3 linked regions of the Astyanax mexicanus genome follow. The protein of the gene in region 2 binds, or shares a complex with, the protein of the main gene of each other region. Links are inferred from orthologs where the notes say so. Each region holds a gene or a part of one and is shown on either strand. Other genes may lie near its edges.

Evidence for each region.
Region 1: rbm15b (region 2) and mettl14 share a complex: the UniProt entries of both Homo sapiens proteins name them as parts of the WMM complex. The link is inferred for Astyanax mexicanus from reciprocal best matches to the Homo sapiens genes RBM15B and METTL14.
Region 3: rbm15b (region 2) and pre-mRNA-splicing regulator WTAP share a complex: the UniProt entries of both Homo sapiens proteins name them as parts of the WMM complex. The link is inferred for Astyanax mexicanus from reciprocal best matches to the Homo sapiens genes RBM15B and WTAP.

What each region holds. Positions count from the first base shown.
Region 1 is NC_064432.1:11,010,711-11,018,206, forward strand, and holds the start of mettl14 (N6-adenosine-methyltransferase non-catalytic subunit), read right to left. Parts: upstream 3,079-7,496; 5' UTR 2,936-3,078; coding exon 2,870-2,935; intron 617-2,869; coding exon 528-616; intron 1-527. Other genes in the region: NLR family CARD domain-containing protein 3-like, read left to right, coding at 4,822-5,040, 6,285-6,404. UniProt on the Homo sapiens protein: The METTL3-METTL14 heterodimer forms a N6-methyltransferase complex that methylates adenosine residues at the N(6) position of some mRNAs and regulates the circadian clock, differentiation of embryonic stem cells and cortical neurogenesis.
Region 2 is NC_064431.1:1,414,869-1,422,787, forward strand, and holds the start of rbm15b (putative RNA-binding protein 15B), read left to right. Parts: upstream 1-4,876; 5' UTR 4,877-5,123; coding exon 5,124-7,721; 3' UTR 7,722-7,919. UniProt on the Homo sapiens protein: RNA-binding protein that acts as a key regulator of N6-methyladenosine (m6A) methylation of RNAs, thereby regulating different processes, such as alternative splicing of mRNAs and X chromosome inactivation mediated by Xist RNA.
Region 3 is NC_064408.1:74,743,930-74,751,063, forward strand, and holds the start of pre-mRNA-splicing regulator WTAP, read left to right. Parts: upstream 1-4,109; 5' UTR 4,110-4,295; intron 4,296-4,374; exon of another isoform or gene 4,375-4,430; intron 4,431-4,506; exon of another isoform or gene 4,507-4,525; intron 4,526-5,858; 5' UTR 5,859-5,866; coding exon 5,867-5,896; intron 5,897-5,994; coding exon 5,995-6,050; intron 6,051-6,136; coding exon 6,137-6,195; intron 6,196-6,282; coding exon 6,283-6,410; intron 6,411-7,134. Other genes in the region: sod2 (superoxide dismutase [Mn], mitochondrial), read right to left, coding at 1-116, 272-388, 663-865, 1,535-1,563. UniProt on the Homo sapiens protein: Associated component of the WMM complex, a complex that mediates N6-methyladenosine (m6A) methylation of RNAs, a modification that plays a role in the efficiency of mRNA splicing and RNA processing.

The sequences.
Region 1 (7,496 bases), on a different chromosome or scaffold from region 2:
GTCCCTGACTCTAATTCATATAAGTTATATACCTGATTTGATCATTTTCCGTACAATCCCTGCTAAAGTTTTAGGTGAAGGAGACCTAAAGAAGGTCAGAGCATGTTTCTGGAAAAACAAAAAAGTGGGCGTGGCATTGCGATGGTTACCATCCATCAAGATGTTGGGTCATACATGACACTAGGCACAACCCTAGTGCTGATAACCAATCGGAGGCAATGCATTCATGAGCAAGAGCCGAAATCCTGTCCTTCTTCAGAGACCACTAATTCAGTGATCTAAAGCAGGGTTATACAGAAACACCAGAGACCACAACTAGACATTTTAAAATGAATGTAAAAACAATTGAATGAGACCTTTAAGGTGAATTCTTTTAAAAGTAAGTACTTTTACTGTTGTGGAGCGTTAAACCGAGGACTTATACATCTATTACTGGAGTAATGTTTTACCCTCTCTACATCTACTTCAACTCAAATACAGGGTTTGTGTACTTTTGTGTCTACTACTGCAGTAAACTGTAGGAATACCTGCAGGTCTCTCTGGACTCCTCGATCTCCTTTTGCTCCTCTTTGCTGTTGAGAACGGCGCCGATACTGTCGGCACTTTCTGCTCCGAGCTGCAAAACAACACAAACATCTTCCCTCAGCTCTCAGTGTAAAGCATAAGTGATGTAAAAATACAAAAACATCAGACTACTACTTTTTTTTGATTGATGATTTATGTGATTATTAATGGGTTTGACTGGTTAATTCAAAAGTGCCCAATCAGACTACTATTACATTAAACTGCATAGATATGTGTTAAAATAACAGCTATAGATAACGGCTAGATTAATATTAGGAGAAATTCAATTAATTACAAGCTCTGAATACTGTAAGTTATTAATATGAGAGGAAATAAAATAAAAAAACGAATAAAAACGAATCAGTTAAAAACATTTAAAAGTTAAAAACATTTAAAAGCATATTTTAAAAGCAAATCACTCCTTTAAAAATATTTTTTTCATTATAAATCCATAATATTTAAGTTAAAATACACATTTAGGTTGTGTCCCTGGGTTTCACTCAGTCCTGTTAGCTTAACAAATTACCCCATCAAAATCACTAGAATGTGCTTAGTGTCCTCATGCTATTAGCACAGCATAATTCTATGCTAAAAACTCAGTCCTGTCACTTTAATTCCCGTTACTCAAAACATAAAAAGTAACAGGAGTGAGTGGCATTAACAGGAATGAGTTCCAGTAACAGGAATCAGTGCCATTAACTTGTTAATGATTTTTGGTCATAAATATCACTTATTTGAACATACAGTCGAACATTTCTTTAAAATAAAGACTTTCTTGAAAGAAACACAAAGTTGCATTTGAACATGCTTTTTAAATGTCACACGAGTTTTGTAAACATCTTCGGCTTAGAAACCTTGTAAAAAAGTAGTAAGGTAAAGCTGCCTGCACTTGACAATTACATGTTTTGAATAGTTAAATACATGTGATATTAAAAAAATTAAAAAGTTTAATTTGGAAAAGTTACAACAATCAATAGCACCCGTTCTGTGGAATGGCCCAATTAGTACAGTGCTTATATCTCTTTTCTGAAAGAGAATTTATTAGTAAAAACTGTAGGTTATTATATGGATCTGTAAGGGTGCTGTGTCTGTACTGTGACTAATCTAAGCCTGTATCTCTGACTGTGTTTTTCTCTGTTTTCTCTCTATCTCTGAGTGTTTTTTTCTCTCTGTTTATGACTTAGTTTTCCTCTCTGTTTGAGTGTCTCTCTCTCTCTGAATCTCTCTGTACCTCTGAGTGTTTTTTTCTCTCTCTCTCTGTATCTGACTGTTTTTCTCTCTGTGTTTCTGACTGTTATTCTCTCTCTCTCACTGTAAATTTCTCTAAGTGTTCTCTCTCTGCAAATCTCTCGCTATCTCTGAGTGTTTTTTTTTTCTCTCTGTTTATGACTGTTTTCCTCTCTGTGTTTCTGAGTCTCTCTCTGTGAATCTCTCTGTACCTCTGAGTGTGTTTTTCTCTCTCTCTGTATCTGTATGTATTTCTGTGTGTTTCTGACTGTTTCTCTCTCTCTGTTTCTGAGTGTGTTTTCTCTCTCTCTTTCTGTATCTCTGACTGTGTTTTTCTCTATCTCACTGTAAGTTTCTCTATCTCTGAGTGTTTTTTCTCTCTCTGTTTGTGAGTTTCTCTCTAAATATTTCTGTACCTCTGAGTGTGTTTATTTTCTCTCTCTCTGTACCTAACAGTATTTCTCTGTGTGTGTTTCTGACTGTGCTTCTCTCTCTCTCTGTTTCTGAGTGTTTCTCTCTCTCTTTCTCTCTGTATCTCTTACTGTGTTTTTCTCTCTGTGTTTCTGACTGTATTTCTCTCTCTCTCTCTCACTGTAAGTTTCTCTATCTCTAAGTGTTTTTCTCTCTCTCTCTATCTCTCTCTGTATCTGTTTTTCTCTCTCTGTGTTTCTAAGTGTGTTTTTCTCTCAGTGTGTTTTAGTGTTTTTCTGTGTGTTTATCTCTGCCTGTTTCTGACTGTTTTTCTCTCTATTTAAGCGTGATTTCTGTGTTTCTCTCTCTCTGTAAATTTATCTGAATTAGTTTTCTCTCTCTCTCTGTATCTGTTTTCCTCTCTGTGAGTTTAAGCATGTTTTTCCTGTGTGTGTTTCTGTCTCTCTCACTCAGTTTCTTGAGTGTGTTTTTCTGTGTTTCCCTTTCTATCTCTCCCTCTCTCTCTGTTTCTCTCTTTCTGAATGTGTTTTCTCTGTTTCTGAATGTGTTTTTCTCTGTTTCTGAATGTGTTTTCTCTCTCTCTCTGTGTGTGGTTTCTCTGTTTCTGAGAGTGTTTTACTCTCTCTCTCTTTGTTTTTTTTTTTACCTGCTGGGCTAACAGCTGTCTCCTGAGCTTCTGCCGCTCCCGGATCTCCTGCAGTCTGCTGTTCATCTCTGATCTGAATCAGAGTCTGACCACTTTACTCAGAATTATAATAAATACACGGGTTTTTAAAGCGATGCAGAGAGAAACCCGCGCGCACACAGACACATTCAAACACAGCCCGGCCGGCGCAGGAGATACGCGTCACACAGTGTCACCGCGCGAGAGACAGAGCGCGAGACAGAGCGAGAGAGCGGGAAGACCGACCAATCCTGAGCTCTAAACCACCGCGTGCCGCTAGAGGGAGCCCGCGAGGGAGACCTGAGTGAATGGAGGTGAATAGAGGTAAACCATTAAAAACACACATTAAAAACAATTATTAACTAAAGTCTGTGTAACGTTTATTCATTTATTTTTTTATTATTTCATAATTTTCTTTTAGGTTAAATGCAACATTTGAAAATTGCATGTAAAAACTTGATTATTATTATTATTTTTTTATTTTAAAGTGGACATGAAACATTTCAGTTCGTACAAGTTTTCCAAGGGATTAAATATAATGGAATTTATTTGGGAGGGGATTTTTTTATCTAAAATGTTTACACACTAAATTGTAACATATATATGTTTGTTACGTTTGCGCTAGTGCGCCACCATTTTGCCCGTGCAGCACTGGTTACATCACGAGGTTGGTTGGTTGATGAGCCCAGGTACATAGCTAGCGGTCACGGTTTAGGAAAAGAGCTGGTAGCTCACCTGGAAGGAGTGGAGATGGAAGGAAGAAGGGAGTGAGTTGGAAATGTTTGGGATAAAGAGCGGGTCGTGGGATGGTGGAGGAGCGTGGCAAACTGCTGGAATTAAGAAAGGTAGGAGATTATCTGATCATGAGAGAGAGTCAGGAGCTTCCTACGCATGTCAAGTGTAGGAAGGAGGAGCATGTAGCACAGTATACAGTTCTTCTTAAGTTTGGAACTGAATCTGGGACTCCATTAAATCCAATAAGATTAAAGAGTGAGCTTAGGAAAGCTGTGGGTGATCTGGCTGCAGCAAAGATCTTGAGAGATGGCAGACAAATCAAGTCTCCCTGAAGCTGCGGGAATCTCCCGCATTTCGGTAGTGGCTCCCTGATGCCCGCGAGTCACGGAATTCAGAACGAGTGCCCCAAACGCGCACACAGGTGACTTTTTTTCTCTAATCGCGTGTGGGAAGGAGAGAGAGAAAACAGAGAGGGTTCTGATTGGCCTGTTCTCTGCAAAGAGTCTGTTCGGTGGTAGGGTAACCTGCCTGAAATCAACTTTTGCAACTTGGGATGTCTGAGATGGTAAGGTATTGATTACCTGTAAAGATGCACGACAGCGTGATAAAGCATTAAAACTTACAAGCCTGGGTGGAAAATCGCTATCTGCAAGCTTGTTCAGAGAGGCAGTAAGGCTGAAGGGAGTGATAACTGGGGTCCCCCTTGATATTACAATGGATCAAATCAAGAAGTCGCTAGTGTGCTAGAGGCTGTACGACTGAAAGTGTTCAGGGATGGGACAGCCTAAAGCTAATTGGAAGAATTTTTCTGTGATTTGTGATGATAGGCTCAAACAGCAGGTTAATTCTGATGATGTTGATGAGTATATTAACAAGTTGTGTATGATTTTGTAAAGATCTGCGGAAGAGTCAGTTCCTTTAAAAAGCAGCCCACAGGGAGGAAAGCTGTTCCTTGGTGGACAGAACAGTGCTCTAAGGCAGTGAAGCTCCGCAATGCAGCTCTAAGACAGGTTCAGAGGTCGCTGTTATTTTGCGATCTGGTGACTTATAGAAAGGCTCAAGCAGAGGTAAGGAGAACTGTTAAAGGGGCGAAATGGTCCTATTGGAGAACGTTCTGTAGCACCATTGGATATGATGTTTCAGTATGTGATTTATGGCACATCATTAAGAAAATAAGGGGAATAAGAAGAGAGAATAATATGCCGGTATTGCAAAGCTGCGTTACTGAGGCAGTGACCGATGCTGATAAGGCAGAGATGTTAGCGCAGGAGTTTGCAAAGATCCATAGCTCGGCTAATTTAAGTGACACTATGCAACAGTTCCGGGAAAGTGTTCGTTCTCAATATCCTGGAGTTCTGTCTCGGAAAGAGGATTTTAGTGGTGTACTGGACACGGAGTTCACGCTACAGGAACTGAAGGTAGCAATTGCGAAATCTGGTCACACATAACCTGGGAAAGATTATGTGTGCTATGATATGTTTAAGCATTTATCAGATGCATCTCTTTTTGTAATTATAGAGTTTTATAATACATTGTAAGGCAGCATGGAAGTTGGCGGTGGTAGTACCTATAGGTAAGCCTGGTAAAGACTTATCTAGTCTAGCAGGATATAGGCCTATTTCACTCACGTCTCATGTAAGTAAGTGCATGGAGCGTATGTTAACAGACAGACTGACTTATTATCTTGAGGCACGAAATGGTTTTGTAAACTATCAGAGTGGCTTTAGACAAGGTAGGATGACAATGGGCCCAGTGTTGTGTCTGGAATCTGAGCTAAGAAAAGCGCAATTGTATAAAGAAGTAGTGATGGTTGTATTTTTAGATATAGAAAAGGCGTATGATATGTTATGGACTGAGGGCTTGCTTATTAAACTGGATAAGGTGGGGGTTGGAGGGAGGCTATATAACTGGATTTTGGAATTTTTCAGTAAAAGGATGTTGCAAGTGAGGGTGGGGCAAGCACAATCAGGAGTTTACTGCATAGAAAATGGGACTCCACAGGGTAGTGTATCTAGCCCTCTATTTTTTAATGTGATGATTAATGATATTTTCTTTTCGGTTGGCTCAGGTGTAGCCAAGTCACCTTATGCAGACAATGGGGCCTTGTGAAAAAGGGGTAGTAATCTCCTGTTTGTTTTAAAGAAGATGTTGAAGAAGATGCAAGAGGCATTGACCAAAGTAGAGCATTGGGCTAATAGCTGGGGCTTCCGATCATTGGCATCAAAATCGCAGGCTATCTGCTTTTCAAATCGTCGGACGCCAACTACCCTTGGTCTGAAGTTGTATGGTTTGGAAATAGAACAAGTCAAGGTGGTCAAGTTCTTAGGTATGTGGATGGATTCCAAGCTAACATGGAATATTCATATTAACAAGATACTAGATAAGTGTAAAAGGGCCCTTAATGTTATGAAGTGCTTGTCAGGATGTGACTGGGGGGCTAACCGACCTTCACTCCTTTATATCTATAGAGCATTGGTGCGGTCAGTTTTTGACTATGGTTGCATAGCATATAGATCTGCTGCCAAGACTAATCTGGCAATTTTGGACCGAGTTCAAGCTCAGGCGCTGCGTTTGTGTTGTGGAGCGGTGAAGTCTTCTGGGGAATTACCCTTACAGTTGCGTAGATTGGCATTATCCACAGTATATTGGACCTCTGTTACAGGCCATGAGGAAAATCAACCTGTGGTACCCATTACGCATGATTGTTTACATCAACATCATTGTACTCCTAGAAGTTTTGGCTGTGTGTGTGCTAGAGAGGCAGCAGAACTGGGTGTCTGGGGTACGGATCTGTGTGCTACAGTGCCTAGAGCAGTGATATCACCATGGATGTTTCCTGAACCTAATGATGACATAACGCTACATGAGCGTATGCGTGCTGTAGATCAGTGGTTCCCAACCTTTTTCTTCAGGGACACATATTTTTACCATTGTAAGCTTTGGTGACCCAACATACCCCCCCCCCCCCCCAAATGTAAAAGATGTAAGTGTATAATTGGGTTGGGGTGGGGGGGTGGGGGGGGGGGTTAGAAATGACAAATAAAAACTGACATTTACTATAGATGAATAAAATAAACACGTAAAAAAGGAAAAATTGATACATAAAACATAAGGAATTTTTATCTTATGAAGAAAAAAAATAATTAGATCAATAAAATAATACAACTCTTTAAAATGAATAAAAAATAATTTATATAAAATAAAAACAAACAACAAAAAAAAGAATAATATCAGTTTCAGTTTCAGTTTCAAATCAGTAAAACAGCTCACCAAAACCTCAACCTGTCCAAATATTGGACAATAATTGATTAACTTTACAGGCCCTCACTCATTTTCATTTATTTAACTAAACTGAGTTTTATATTCTTATATTATTATATTATTATATTCAGCCTCGCGCTGAATTCAGCTCCGCGCTGGGGCTGAGAGCGCCCGCGCGCGCCAGAGAGAGAGAGACAGAGAGAGCGCAGCGCGGCGAATTTTGCTTACCCTAGACTATATATAGTATTAAAATTAAACCCCTTAAAATCAAGAGGGCTTCGCGACCCATCGTGGATCTTTGGCGACCCATAGGTTGGGTCGCGACCCATAGGTTGGGAACCACTGCTGTAGATGACCAGTAGAGCACCTCTGGTATAGTTGGGAGGCACTTAAACCAGTCATACTATGGTATGCTACAAGTTTATACAGAAGGCTCTGAACATCCTTCTTCAGGGATGACATCAGCAGCCGTTTTTTTCCCTGAATTACACATTTTCAGTGGCAAAAGGCTAACCAATGATATATCTGTATTTATAACTGAACTAGTGGCTATCCTTCTGGCTTTGCATTGGGCCAAGGAGACATGTCCTTTGGGTTTGTTGGTATGTTCTGA
Region 2 (7,919 bases):
TGTATTGGAGGAGGCATGTGCTAGCCTTTACCCTCCTGGTGTTGGGGCATTGTTAGCAATAGCAGGAGTGCAGCTGAGTGGGTGGGATATTCTGCATAGCTAAAATTTGGGAGAAAAATGAGGCAGAAACACAAATGCACAAGTATAAATGCTCACAATAGCATGAGCCACTTGTGTAGGCTATATTGTAGACTCTAAATTGACCTGATTTAGTAGTATAAACCTTCCTGTGCTGTCTCTCTGCTCTGAAGATGGCGTAGTGATGATGGTATTGAGAAACAAACCAGTTACCAAAAAGTAGAGTCGGTAAAATACTACGCAGTGGAAAACACCAATAAGATCCAACTAAAGCAAAAGCTCTATCTGGACGGGATTAGTTTCTCAGGGGGGCGTCTGTAAAAATATTTCACACTTTTATTCAGTGATAAAACTCCTGCATCCGGACTGCAATTGAAAAAACAAACAGGAGGACCAGTGAGTTGTCGCTGTTGTGTTTTTAACGCGGTTCTGCGTGGAAACCGTGGGGCGTTCAAAGTGTAATTACGGTGCCCTACAGTGGACAAATAGCTATTTCATTAAACACGAAGAGACGAAACTCAGATGTGTGTCCGGACGGGACTAAAATTACCGGAGGGGCACGGAGTTCAGAGAAAAACAGTAGATAATTCAGCCTGTAATTTTTTATCTTAGAACACGTACATGATCGTTCTGGATGGGAATAAAATCACAGAGGATAAAACCCCCCCATAAAAGACATAGAATATTAACTAATCCCATCCGGATAATGCTAAAAACTCGAAAAACCAAAAGATCTAAAGAAAAAGGTGGATTGGTGACCCATGCCTAAAAAGTAAAAAAAATAAAGAAATAAAAATGTTCAGACCTGTGTATGTTTCAGCTTTGGGCCGAAGCCTCGCTTTACATCCAGCCTCACTTTAAACTTTATTTTCCCTTTTATTTTTAGTGCACTTAACTTTGATACAGCATTCATACCAGTGTAGTGAATGTTTATACAGAGATATGGTGTATAGATTTGGGGTGATATTACAAAACACTGTAGTTTCTTTATTTTTGATAAAGGGACAGGGCTTTTTTATTTTATATGATTTGATTTATTATTATATTAAAACAGACCGAAGTTGAGGAGGATGATTAAGGTGATCCATCTACTAAACGTGGTTCAATTCAAATGGACTTCACTGTAAAACATGTTTATTACAGTTGTACTATACTTTTTCATTAAAAAAAGAAAATGAACCCAATTCTTGTTTCTTGTGTAACGGCAGATATTAGTGGTGTGCTCCTGTTTTTATCTGCTCTGGTTTTGATCCTGAATGTTTGGATTCTTTCTGAAATAAGGTGTTTGAACCGGTTTAAAGTGGTGTAAACTTAATATGTACTAATAGGCTAAAGAAGTGTAGCATTAGCTTTTGATTTTTACAGTTTGAGATGCAACAAATATTGATAATTATATAGAAACCTTGAAGTTATTATATAAAATGACAAGCTTAAGCTTTAATATTTGCAAGGTTTAAATGCCCTGACTACTTCCACACATACCTTAATCTGAAAGAAGCCTGGAGACTGATCCCCTGTGTAACGTGCTCTCTATCCACTGTAGTTCCCACTTCCAGGATTTTGGTGATCACCAACAATACCCTTTGAAAGGAAGATATTGAAAGAATATAGTTATTTTAGTGTATTAGAAGTCATTTTGTTTTATTGTACAAGTATAGAACATATTAGGGCTGCACAATATTGGTATTGCACTCTCTAGAATAAGAAAATATAAAAATTGAGTACTAAAAAATAAGTTATTTAGAAATTCACTGAAACTACAAAAGGGGCAAAGAAAATCAAATGTAAAATAAGATTAAAAAGGTTTTAGCTATGAAGTATTGAAATAAGTAAATAAAAAATGAATCAATTATTAAAACAACATTAATTGAAATCTGTAATATAATATAATCTGTAATATACGATGGTGCCAATCCATAAGCATAATTAATAATATTGTGCAGATCTGACAATATTTGACATTTCCTCTCCTGCAAGGTGACTATTATGCTTGTGCACATTGCAATACTGATGCTAAAACACTATATTGTGCAGCCCTAACTCTCATCACATTAATATATTCCTCTAAATGAATCAAATGACAAGAATCACCATCTAGGCCACTACGTAGGCTCACTATTTAGGCTATGAGTGTGGGATGCCAAATATCATAAATTTACCTTTAAAACTGGCACTTTAACAGTGTACTCAAATAATTAAGTCAGAAGTCATTTTTGGGGACATGGCCAAATGCTGATATTTGTTTTTAAATTTTTCATAAATGTGTGTCAATAATTTTCATATTTAATAAGATTAACAATATTAACTAACCATATGTCCTATAATACATCAGATCCTGAAAATCGACATCTAGGCCCTGTACTTAGGCACACTATTAAGGCTACGAGTGTGCGATTTGGGATGCGTACTTTTGATGTCTATATTTACAGTTGTGGTCAAAAGTTTACATACACTTGTAAAAAAACATAATGTTATGGCTGTCTTGAGTTTTCAATAAGTTCTACAACTCTTATTTTTCTGTGATAGAGTGATCGGAACACATACATGTTTGTCACAAAAAACAGTCATAAAATTTGGTTCTTTCATAAATTTATTATGGGTCTGCTGAAAATGTCACCAAATCTGCTGGGTCAAAAATATACATACAGCAACAAAATTTGTCAATTTTGGTGATGTAGCGAGTTGTGTCAATCAAATTAGCTTCATGTCATGGCCTCTTCACTTCTTGTAAGTGATTCTGATTGACTACAGCTGTTGACTTCTCATGAGCCCATTTAAATAGGGCTCATTTGACCCAGTGATTAGACTCAGCTACAAAAGCTACAATGGGAAAGTCAAAGGAACTCAGTGTGGATCTGAAAAAGCGAATTATTGACTTGAACAAGTCAGGGAAGTCACTTGGAGCCATTTCAAAGCAGCTACAGGTCCCAAGAGCAACTGTGCAGACAATTATACGCAAGTATAAAGTGCATGGAACAGTTGTGTCACTGCCACGATCAGGAAGAAAACGCAAGCTATCACATGCTGCCGAGAGGAGATTGGTCAGGATGGTCAAGAGTCAACCAAGAATCACCAAGAAGCAGGTCTGCAAGGATTTGGAAGCTGATGGAACACAGGTGTCAGTCTCCACAGTCAAGCGTGTTTTACATCGCCATGGACTGAGAGGCTGCCGTGCAAGAAAGAAGCCCTTGCTCCAGAAAAGGCACCTTAAGACTCGGCTGAAGTTTGCTGCTGATCACATGGACAAAGATAAAACCTTCTGGAGGAAAGTTCTCTGGTCAGACGAAACAAAAATTGAGCTGTTTGGCCACAACACCCAGCAATATGTTTGGAGGAGAAAAGGTGAGGCCTTTAATCCCAGGAACACCATGCCTACTGTCAAGCATGGTGGTGGTAGTATTACGCTCTGGGGATGTTTTGCTGCCAGTGGAACTGGTTCTTTGCAGAAAGTAAATGGGATAATGAAGAAGGAGGATTACCTCCAAATTCTGCAGGAAAACTTAAAACCATCAGCCCGAAGGTTGGGTCTTGGGCGCAGTTGGGTGTTCCAACAAGACAATGACCCAAAACACACATCAAAAGTGGTAAAGGAATGGCTAAACCAGGCTAGAATTAAGGTTTTAGAATGGCCTTCCCAAAGTCCTGACTTAAACCCCATTGAGAACATGTGGACAGTGCTAAAGAAACGGGTTCATGCAAGAAAACCATCACATTTAGCTGAACTGCACCAATTCTGTCAAGAAGAGTGGTCAAACATTCGACCTGAAGCTTGCCAGGAGCTTGTGGATGGCTACCAAAAGCGCCTAGTTGCCGTGAAAATGGCCAAGGGACATGTAACCAAATAGTAATGTTGCTGTATGTATATTTTTGACCCAGCAGATTTGGTGACATTTTCAGCAGACCCATAATAAATTTATGAAAGAACCAAATTTTATGACTGTTTTTTGTGACAAACATGTATGTGTTCCGATCACTCTATCACAGAAAAATAAGAGTTGTAGAACTTATTGAAAACTCAAGACAGCCATAACATTATGTTTTTTTACAAGTGTATGTAAACTTTTGACCACAACTGTATTTCATTTAAATTAGTATATTTTAAAGTTTACTTAAATAAATTGACGTGATACTGGTCAGGAATCAAAAGCTTTAAATGTTTTTATTTTATTCATGTATTTGTTTGCGTACTTCATCATTAATAATACATACATTTAAACTACTAACCAATTTAACCCCGTGCTTTGGTTTGTTTTTTGTTTTTTTGCACAACATACAATCCATACTTAGGTAACAAACAACCATAATTACAAAAATATAAAAAAAACGTACAATGTAAAATAAATAAATAAATAAAAACAAAACAAAAAAAAAACATTAAAAAAAGAAAAGGGATTCATATAACATTGAAAAACTTCAAAATATATATGGATTTATGGCATTTTTATTTGTCGAAAACTAGTCAATAAGTGTATATATTATATAAAGTCTGAATAAACATGTTTATAGATATGTATTTATATAGAATATTTGCACAATTCAAAAGAGGTCATATGATATGGGACATTTTTCAGAAAATACAAGCTTTAAATATTTATGTTATAAATTAATCTATTTGCAAGTTTCCTAATTAATAATAAATGTAAACTACCAAATGAACCATGTGCTTCATAATGCGTTAAACCCTGAGAATCGCCATCTAGGCCACTGCTTAGGCACACTATTAAGGCTATGAGGATGCGATTTGGGACGTATCCCAGTGACGTCCGAGTCACGTGCGTCTGTGCTCCTCCTACCAACGGCGGCGCGCGCGCACGCTCCCATTGTCCAAGATGGCGGCGCGGGTGCAGCTTCTGTGATGCTGGTGTTTTCGGCGCGTTTGTTTGATGTTTTCCCGCTGAAGCTCCGTCCCCGTATCTCTCTCCGCGTCCGGCGGAACGCGCGTGACGCCCATCGCTCGCGCGGCGTGAGCGCGCGGTGTGGACCGGAGCTGTTTGGTGTCGCCCCGGTTTTTTTTCCTCCGCCGCCAAAAGTTTGCAGGGAGGAGGATGAAGCGGCAGGCCGAGCGGGACACGAGCCCGGCGCGAGCTGCCGCCAAACGGATCCGGGAGCGCGAGAGAGAGCGCGAACGGGAGCGAGACCGCGAGCGCGAGGGCAGACGAGGAGAGGATGCCATCATCGCCTCCGCGGTCGCCGCGCCTCCCGGTGCCCTCCTACCGTCGCCGCCGCTCGCGCTGCTGCTCGCGGACACTCGGAGCGGTTGCTATGGAAAACGTGAGGCGCGCGGAGGAGAGAGCAGCGCGCACCATCGGCTGCACCACGACGCCGGTGCCCTTTCCGCGCGCTCGGGCTTGAGACCAGGTGGGAAAGGTAAAGGGTCTGCAGGCGCCGAGATGCTCGGTGGCCGGGTGGCTGGGGGCGGGGCTGGCAGTGGTGGCAGCAGTAGTGGCAGTGGCGGTGGCAGCAGTAGCAGCAGCAGCAGTGGCCTCGAGTACAAAACCCTGCTGGTCAGCAACCTAGGCTCCCACCTGTCAGATGAGCACATAGAGGATGAGCTCTTCCACAAGTTCAAGAAGTTCGGAGATGTCAGTGTAAAGCTCTCCCACACACCTGAGCTTGGACGGGTAGCCTATGTGAACTTCAGGCAAGTAGAGAGCGCACGGGAAGCACGCCACGCCAGGACCCGCCTGGTGCTGGGGGACCGGGCACTTCGGGTCGAGCCTGTGTACGTCCGCCGCCGCAGCTGCACGCCTCCTGATGTGGCCTACGCTCCCTTGCTACACCCTGCCTACCTCTATAGGCAGCGCTCGCTCTCGCCAGGGCCAGGTGGCAGTGCCATCCGCGATACCCGGGCCAGGCACTATGCTGAGGGTGTCGTTGGGCTCGCCAGGGAGAGGGAGCGCCTCCTGGACTACTACAGCGCTTTGGAGGAGAGGAGCCGGGCACTGGCGTTGCAGCTGCAGGTGGAGGAGGACCTGAAACCAGAGGACGATCAGAGAGCGACTCGGAACTTGTTCATCGGCAACCTGGATCACAACGTGTCTGAAGCAGAGCTCAGGCAGGGCTTTGAGAAGTACGGCGTCATCGAGGAGGTGGTGATAAAGCGGCCAGCGCGTGGGCAAGGGTGTGCATATGCTTTTATTAAATTCCAGAACCTGGACATGGCTCACAGGGCCAAGGTAGCCATGCAGGGACGAGTGTTCGGGGGCAACCAGGTGAAAATTGGATACGGCAAGGCCAATCCCACCACACGCCTTTGGGTGGGCGGCTTAGGCCCGAATGTGTCTCTGGCCGCCTTGGCTAGAGAGTTTGATCGCTTTGGGAGCATCCGTACCATTGACTATGTAAAGGGGGACAATTTTGCCTACATCCACTATGAAAGCCTGGATGCAGCCCAAGCAGCATGTGCCCAGATGCGTGGATTCCCACTGGGTGGCCCAAACCGCAGGCTACGAGTGGACTTTGCCAAAGCTGAGGAAGTACGAGCATACCCGCAGCAGTACCAGCTGCCTCTTCCTTTGCCGCCACCTTTTGAGCCACTTAGCGAAGGTTACAGCCGCCACCGCAGCTTGGAGAGAGAACTTAGGGCTCGTGCTCGTTCACCCTCCCACCCACTTTTCGCAGAGAGGGAACGAGAGCGTGAACGTGAATGGAGTCCTCCTAAAAGCGTGGAACGCAGAACTAACACAGAAGCTTTTGGGCGGGGACGAGCCCGCAGTCGCAGCAGGGAGCGATGGACCAAGGACAGAGACTCTGATCGCAAAGGTTTGGACGAACGACGTAAGCGTCGGAGCCGAAGTCGCAGCATCAGTCCAAGTGACAGGCTGTATGAGGACAGGGGGCGCACCAGGGTGAGAGCAGGTGCCCCTGCAACCCCAGACGACAGTCCAGACCGGGCACGTGGCCGCCTTCCTGACTCCACCTCAGAGCCCCAAAGCCACACACCTGACAGCAGCCGCCAGTCCGGAGACGAGCGAGCTCAGTTGCTGTTGCAGGAGGATTCAAACAAGCATCGTAAAGGAGGAGAACATGAGCGGAACCACCGCAAAAGTGATGCAGACTTAGATCAGCAGGTGAAAAAGTTCAAGAGCGAGCCCAAAAAGCCCAGCACGCTCTCAGAATACGCCCAGACCATCAGCAGAGTGTGGCACGGCTCCCTGGTGCTGAAAAACAGCAGCTTCCCCACCAACATGCACATCCTGGAAGGAGGGGCCAGCTTCTTCCTTTCCCTCATGAAAGACAACCAAGCGGGCAGTGCCAAGATCACACAGCTCAAGATAGCCCAGCGACTCCGACTGGACCAGCCCAAGCTGGATGAGGTGACCCGCCGCATCAAGCTGGGCAGCCCCGACGGCTACACCGTCCTCCTGGCCGTCCAGGGCCCCATGGACCAGGACTCGCCTCCTCTGGAACCTGGAATCCAGAAACGCCTTCTGCGCAACCTGGTCACCTACCTCAGAAACAAGCAGGCAGCTGGCGTGATCAGTCTGCCAATCGGAGGACCCAAGGAACGTGAAACGGGGGGCATGCTGTACGCCTTCCCCCCCTGTGAGTTCTCCCAACAGTACCTTCAGACTGCTCTTAAAACTTTGGGCAAAATAGAGGAGGATCACTTGGTCATTGTGGTCGTTAAAGATTCACTTTAATAGTCCTTTTATAGTGCAGTGCTGTTTAAAACACACACACACAGGTCCAAACTTAAAAGAATACCACTGTCTTCTCAAAAATCTGTAAATTTCAGTGTTTCCCAGTTCTGGTCCTGCTGGTATTTGATCTGATTTTTCTATATTTGACAAACTTTCCTGACTTTTGATAAACTACGTAATAGTGTAATTCATAAATAT
Region 3 (7,134 bases), on a different chromosome or scaffold from region 2:
ATCAAAGCCCAGCCACCCCCATCCTGACCCCTGAACTGCCACAGTAGCAGCAGACATCCTCTCCTTAAACTTCTGGAATGAGCCAAAGTCACGCTTAATGGCCTCCATAAGCTCACCTGGGTAAAATAATGTGTAATATTCATATAAGACATACTATTAAAACCTTTTAGTGTACGACAGCTTGTGAAGATGACATAAATTAATGGTTTGCAACAAACATGATGCGAATGCTGAAAATTAAGAGAAAAATAAAATGTACTGCATCTCTCACCCTGTGGCTCTCCTCCTCCATTTGGGGACAGGTTTGTCCAAAAAATGGTGTGGTTGATGTGACCACCACCATTAAACCGCAGAGCTGACTGAAGTGCCACTTGTGTTGTCACATCACCTACAAAACCCCACCGTTCATAAAAAGAGCAAACCAAAAAAAAAAAGAAGAAACAAAGTACTTTAATTAGGAATGACCAAATTTGTATGTACTTTAATTCATAAAGCTTCTCATAGTATAAGCTTATCACGTTTTTGATCCTTGAGCAATGCTTCTACTTCAAGAGGCTTTGTGAATATGAGCCCAGGTCTTACACAATACAGTAAATACTTCATCCATTTGCTGGTGGCTGAAGCCTGAACACTTTATTGTAACTGGATAAACTTTGATTCACCTTTGGCCAGGGCCTCTTGGTATTTCTCTTCAGTAACGTTGAGATTGTTGACGTATGTTGCATGGTGCTTGCTGTGGTGAAGTTGCATGATCTCAGCACAGACGTGGGGCTCAAGTGCCCCATAATCATAAGGGAGGTCTGGAAGTGTGTGCTTTAGTCTTGAGGCCAAGGCACCCAACAAAGGGTTTAAGGTGGCTGTGCACCTAAAAACAGAAGGAGACAGAGGTGAAATGTGTTAGACAAACTCAAGTACAATGAACTTTGTAGCTAAAACTGTCTGGACTCAACTAACCTAGCTAAAAAAATAGGAGCTGCTTATTGAACTTACCTGTTTAAATTTTGGATTTTGTAACCTAGTTATCAGTAACTTATTCATAAACTTGTGTGAACTCTCATGGGATAACGCTCACTTTTGCTAGTTATTCATTTAAGGTCTAAGTTAGTTAGGTTAGCTAGTTAGCTAATTTGGCTTAGCTAAACATTTTGACGTTGAGCTTTAATTACATAAGCTGCTAAAATAGCTATCCCTGCTACCACTGCCAGAAACGGCTAACAAACATATGAGGAGACTAAGCTAGCCTAGCTAGCTGTTAGGGGACAAGCTAAGTGCTAAAAGTGGTAGTGAAATTATGTGTTTTATAATTATAACTGCAGATAAATAGAGCTGTAAAATGAACAGAGTGCTGCTGTGCTGTAACTTAGCAGTTAGCTGTCTGTCTGACTGCAGGTCATGTGTTACCGCTAACGCTGTCAGCTCACTCTACTCTATAAAGCGCTGTTTGCTAGGCTAACAGCTCACACAGCTTCTGTGTTTAAAAACGCCGAGAATCCTCAACATTTCCACAGACTCCAGTCTAAATCTGTGTCGTTACCTGCGAACATGTCCAACTCTGCCAAACATGTTCTTATTCTCTCTACAGCGGTGTCTCTGACAGTGAGCTCTGAGCAGCTGCGACTCCCCCTCTCACTCACTCCATTCTAACCTGCCCTTGAAATTTCAACTTGAACTCCAGTAGGACTGAACCATTACTCCGTCTGTAGGTAACACATATGTTTAAATGTTTCTCTCTACACATACCACGTCAATTAAAATGTTAAAAATAGTAACATAACGATTTAAAACCGTAAAGTAAACACAATATGTGTCGATCTGTTCATAAAGGTATATAAACGCTTTAATATAAGAGCTGAGAAATCTGTCCCACCCCTAAAAATGATTAGATTAATCCGCACCTCTTCGCTGCCTGGCCTTGTTGTGTTGCATGCTTAGTTTTTTCCAGTGCTGGTAGAGATACCTGCTGTATCACTACATGAAGTGTGTGTGTGTGTGTGTGTGTGTGTGTGTGTGTGTGTGTGTGTGTGTGTGTGTTTGTGGGTGTGTATAATGATTTCAGTCGTTCATGCTTTTATAAGCCCTTTTAAAGTTTTAAGTTTTAAAACAGTGTATTAAAATCAGCTAATATTAGCTAATTGAGCTGTGAAAAAAAACAATTGTATTTAAGGTGTACATACATGTCACAAAAATGAGTACACCCTTCACCTTTTTGTAAATATTTTATTTTAATAGGACAACACTGAACATATGACACAACGTAAAGTGGTCATTAATCTCTACACCGCTGGCAACTAAAGTAAGTACACTTTTGAAAATTGTGCCTAATTACCCCTTCTTTCTCCCCAGTGTCATGTGACTTGTTAGTTTTACAAGGTCTCAGGTGTAAATGGGGAGCAAGCTAAATTTAATGTTTTGAGTACAATTCTCTCATATTGGCACTTCATGGCAAGAAAACCCTCTGAGGATGTAAAAAAAATATAATTGTTGCTCTCCGCAGAGATGGCTTAGGCTATAAGAAGTTTGGTGACACCCTAAAACTGAGGGCCATTGTCATACAGCAGTTTTTAGGACAGGTTCTGTTCAGAGCTGCCTCCCCAGGGTTGACCAAAGAAGTTGAGTCCACATGTTCAGCGTAACATCCACAGGCTTGCTTTAACCATAGATGCATGAGTAGTGCCAGCATTGCTGCAGAGCTTGAATAAGTAAGAGTAAGAGTTCTCCTCCCTTCCGAAACTGGGCCGCATGGCAGTTTTCCATCATGATAACGACCCCAAACATATCTCCAAGATGAGAAATGCTTTGCTGAGGAACCTGAGGATAAAGGTGATGGCCTGGACAAGTATGTCTTTAGACCTACACCCAATTGAGGAAGGTGGAGGAGCGCAAGGTCTCTAACAGCCACTAGCTCCATGATGCTGTCATGATGGAGTGGAAGAGGATTGGCAACCTGTAAAGCTCTAGTGAACTCCATGCCCAAGAGGGTTAAGGCAGTGCTGGAAAATAATGGTGGCCACACAAAATATTTACCCTTTGGGCACAATCTGGACATTTTCACAGTGGTGTACTTGGTTTTGTTGCCAGATATTTTGAGGAAATAGCAAAATATATATATATATAAGCTGTACACTGATTACTTTACATTGAATCAAAGTGTCATATCTTTAGTGTTCTTCCATGAAAAGATTAAATATTTACAAATATATGAGGAGTGCACTCACTTGTGTAAGATACTGGATAAGCCACACACTACACAGTTATCAATACAAAAAAAATAATAGTTATTTAATAATTTCCTTTAACAGAAGCTATGTCTTTATTTTTTGGGTTTATTGTATAAACAACAAAGAATCATAAATAAATATGAGGTTGTTGCAGAATACTCTAAAGTTTGGAGCTGATGACATGGCTTTAACAGTTGTTTATACTGTATAAACTATTCCCATTAGGGCATCAATTTCATAACCTGATTTATTTTACTTCAGGTTAGTATCATGGTGTATTAACAAGACCATCATATTTTTTCTAGCAATAAATGTGGGAAGGAAATAACATTAAAGAGATATCCTGCCAAAAGGGAGTGCAGGTACAAAATAGGTGAGCGACAGTTTCCAAAGCTGTGGAAACTGTGGCAAAAAGAACATTTTCATGAAACGTACATTTTAAAATTTTTGAGCAGGACATAACATGGATAAAATAAATGTCTTTACCTTTGTTAGAAAGCAGCTATTTACTAATTGCCAGAGAGAAAGGAGAATTCCTTTTTCAATTCGTAATTTGCAACAGGGAGGCAGCTACATGCTTCATTAGCTGGAGTTACAGCTCCTGATACGGTCAGTGTAACAGTCCTAAAACTGTAACAGTTATACCCCTTATAACAAGATATCGCTAATATGAGGATTATGACTTCAGTGAGCTTCTATAAGGTATATTATTTTAAGAATAAAAAAAAATACATTACATATCATATACTTTCCGTGAAATATATCTATTCCTGAATTCAGCGTGAATATTACACCTTCATCATTTATTAATCCAGTCTCTCCTGAGCGGGGTCTTGTTTTGAACAGTCGCTGAACTGGTTAACAGGCTGCAACACACATCATGTAAGCCGCCCCGCCCCTTCAGCCTCTGCGGCGGAACATCCATCGTCCTCGCGGTGATGGCGGCTACGCGGAGCTCGCGTTAAGCTCAGGCTCGGGTCGTTTTAAGATTGAAATACGCTATTAGAGGGACGGGTTGCTCGTTAGTAGCGCGCTAGAAGCAGATTGGGTCATCTTGGTCTGAGTAAAGCAGGGCTTGTAAGTATCTCGGGTGTCTTTTTCTGGCTCGTTTCTGGTAAACAAGTTCTGAGAGCTGCGCTGTTGGTCGGAGGGAGAGTCTCTTCCTTTTCCGCCATTTTGTGACAAGAAACTGATAACACACGGAGCCGGCAGGTACTAGTCTAAACGCCGCGCTGGTCTCGGGATTCTGCTCGGGTGTAGTTCAGTGGTTCGTGGGGAATTCCGTCTAAATAGTTCGGGGACTGGAGGTGTGTGTCTGACCCGCCGTTCTGCTCCGCTGGGCTCCGCTGATTTTAACGCGGTTAACGCAGCAGCGCCAGCCCTGCTAGCTCGGTATTAGCTGTTCACGCTGGCTAACGGGCTAACTAGCTTAACTACATTACCGAGAATAAACAGCCAACAGGCCTCGGTTAGGGGTTTAAGGACACGGATTTCTGGCGGACAGTAATGAGAGGTTTTTACTGAGACACTCTAGGTTAGTTACGAACTCGTATGGTCCACAAATGCTAACCAACGCAGTCCAACAAACGTGCGAGGGGCTGTAGTGTATAACATGTTCAGGCTAGGCTAGGCTAGATTACGTAGAGGAGCAGAACGAAACGCTAGCTAACTAGCCAGCTCTTAAAACAGTCTCCGTTTATACATGTCCCTGCTAATGACGTTACAGGCTTTTACCGCTCTGTGCGCAGAGCGCAACTATCTAAACTGTGGTCCATTTTGCTTGTACCCAAAGCACGGCGAGGCTGAGTCAGTGTAACGTTAACGTTTGAGTTCCATATTCTGACCGTTATAGAGGATAAATTCAACAATACACTACGATTGTTGTGTGAAACTTCATTAACTTACTTAGCTATTATTATTTTCTCAGTTTGTTGTAATGAAGAAGAAATGTTTGTCTTTATTTCTTCTATTTTTTAAAATATTTTTTCACTCCAACAACTCATTTCTGCAGCACAAAATAAGAATTTCAGGAAAATTATTTTCTAGATTTTCAGATTTGTCCTTTTTTGTGTATTGTAACAAAAGTTGAATTATATGGTAAGAATTCTAAAATCAAAACAATATAAAGTCATTTTTAAAATGGATTTTTCCTGAAATTCTGTTTGCAAAACACAGAATTGACTAACAGAAAATTGGTAAAATAAAAAAACACTTCTTTCTCATTATAGCTACTAAATGGGAAAATTTTAAAAATGAATACAGTTTTATATTTTCGAGTTTAGCCCCAAATTTAAATGATATTAGTTACACTGACTGTCTGGTGTTGATTTATTTTTGTTCAGAGTTTCTGTTTCTCTGTTTAAATGGTGCTGTAGGTATAACTTGGCTATTATATTGCTTGTGTGCTTTAGTCCATCTAGCCAGCCTAACCTTTGCACCAATTACAGTGGAAGTGAAATAGGTTATAAAATGAACCTCCTACAAAAACGTCTTCTAGTAAAGTGTGTGATCTCGCACTTTATTTCTAATGTGGCCATTTTATGGTATTGGAGCAACCAGAGCTGTATGTTGTGAATCTGTTGTTTTTCTTCTGAAGTAAAACAGTACGTCTTATATTTGTTTATTTTTGTCATTTTGCAGAGATCAAGATGACTAATGAAGAACCTCTTCCCAAGAAGGTGAGCGCATTGGCACAGTGATCTTAACTGGCTGTGAAATATGATGAGGAAATCTCTGCTATGTCAGTTTATTAATGCTTCTATTTCTGGTATTTCAGGTTCGCCTTAATGAATCAGACATGAAGACCCTGACCAGAGAGGAGCTGTGTACACGGTAAGGATAAGTTTTCTTTTTAATAAATATTTTAATTACGGTTCTTTTCTTTAAATAATGCAAAAACATTTTACTTTCCATCTTAGGTGGAAACAGCATGAAGCCTATGTCCAGGTGCTGGAGGCAAAATATGCTGATTTAAATTGTAAGTCTCCGCACATGCACTCTGATTTATTTTCTTGATTTATTGCATTGTTTGTGCGAGCATTTGAATGGTATGCTTTATCCACAGCCAATGATGTGACTGGTTTGAAAGAGTCTGAGGAGAAGCTAAAGCAGCAACAACAGGAGTCTGCACGCAGAGAGAACATTCTGGTGATGAGGCTGGCCACTAAGGAGCAGGAGATGCAGGAATGTACAGTAAGTATTTTTCTTCAGATTTAGATCACCTGACATCTGTCCTACTCTCCTTTAGTCCACATTTAGGATATATATGTTGCATGGAAGTAGTAGTTAATTTATACAGAAGCAAAGATATTTTTGCTATCTCGAATGCATGAATAAAAACTCTTGTTGAGATTTGTATTACTATTCTATGAATGTAGCAGTTATTTTCTTTTTTTCTAATTTGGGCATTGGTGTGTCAGACATAAGTTTTAAATGCCATCACAAAATAAAGCACCTGTGGCCTGTACCTCAGAAAAATTAGTCAGTTTATATAGAGTCAGTCATTAATATATCATTATGCCAATGTAAGCAATTGGAAAACATTAATTACATTATTCAATGAAAAAAGTAAATGAGGATGAGAAGTAAGCTTTCCTATCAGAAGGGCATTTTAAAATGAACATTTACTTTGTTTGTGTACAAGTATGTAAGTATGCTAAGTTATGGGTTGCAGGACTAGTGCTGGCTTTCAGGCTCAGTTGTTGTAGTATAAAATATAAATGTAAATATACATTTTGATCGTACACAATGTTTATCTCATTATTTTGACACACAAATTAGCCATATCACAGTAGAGTTTGATAAGTGCCATGCTGGTAAAACTTTATATGTAGTACAGTGATTTTTATTCTGTATTTTCTGCACTTCATTCATTGAAATAGGACTAAATACACTCTTTGAATATAACCTGCAGCTG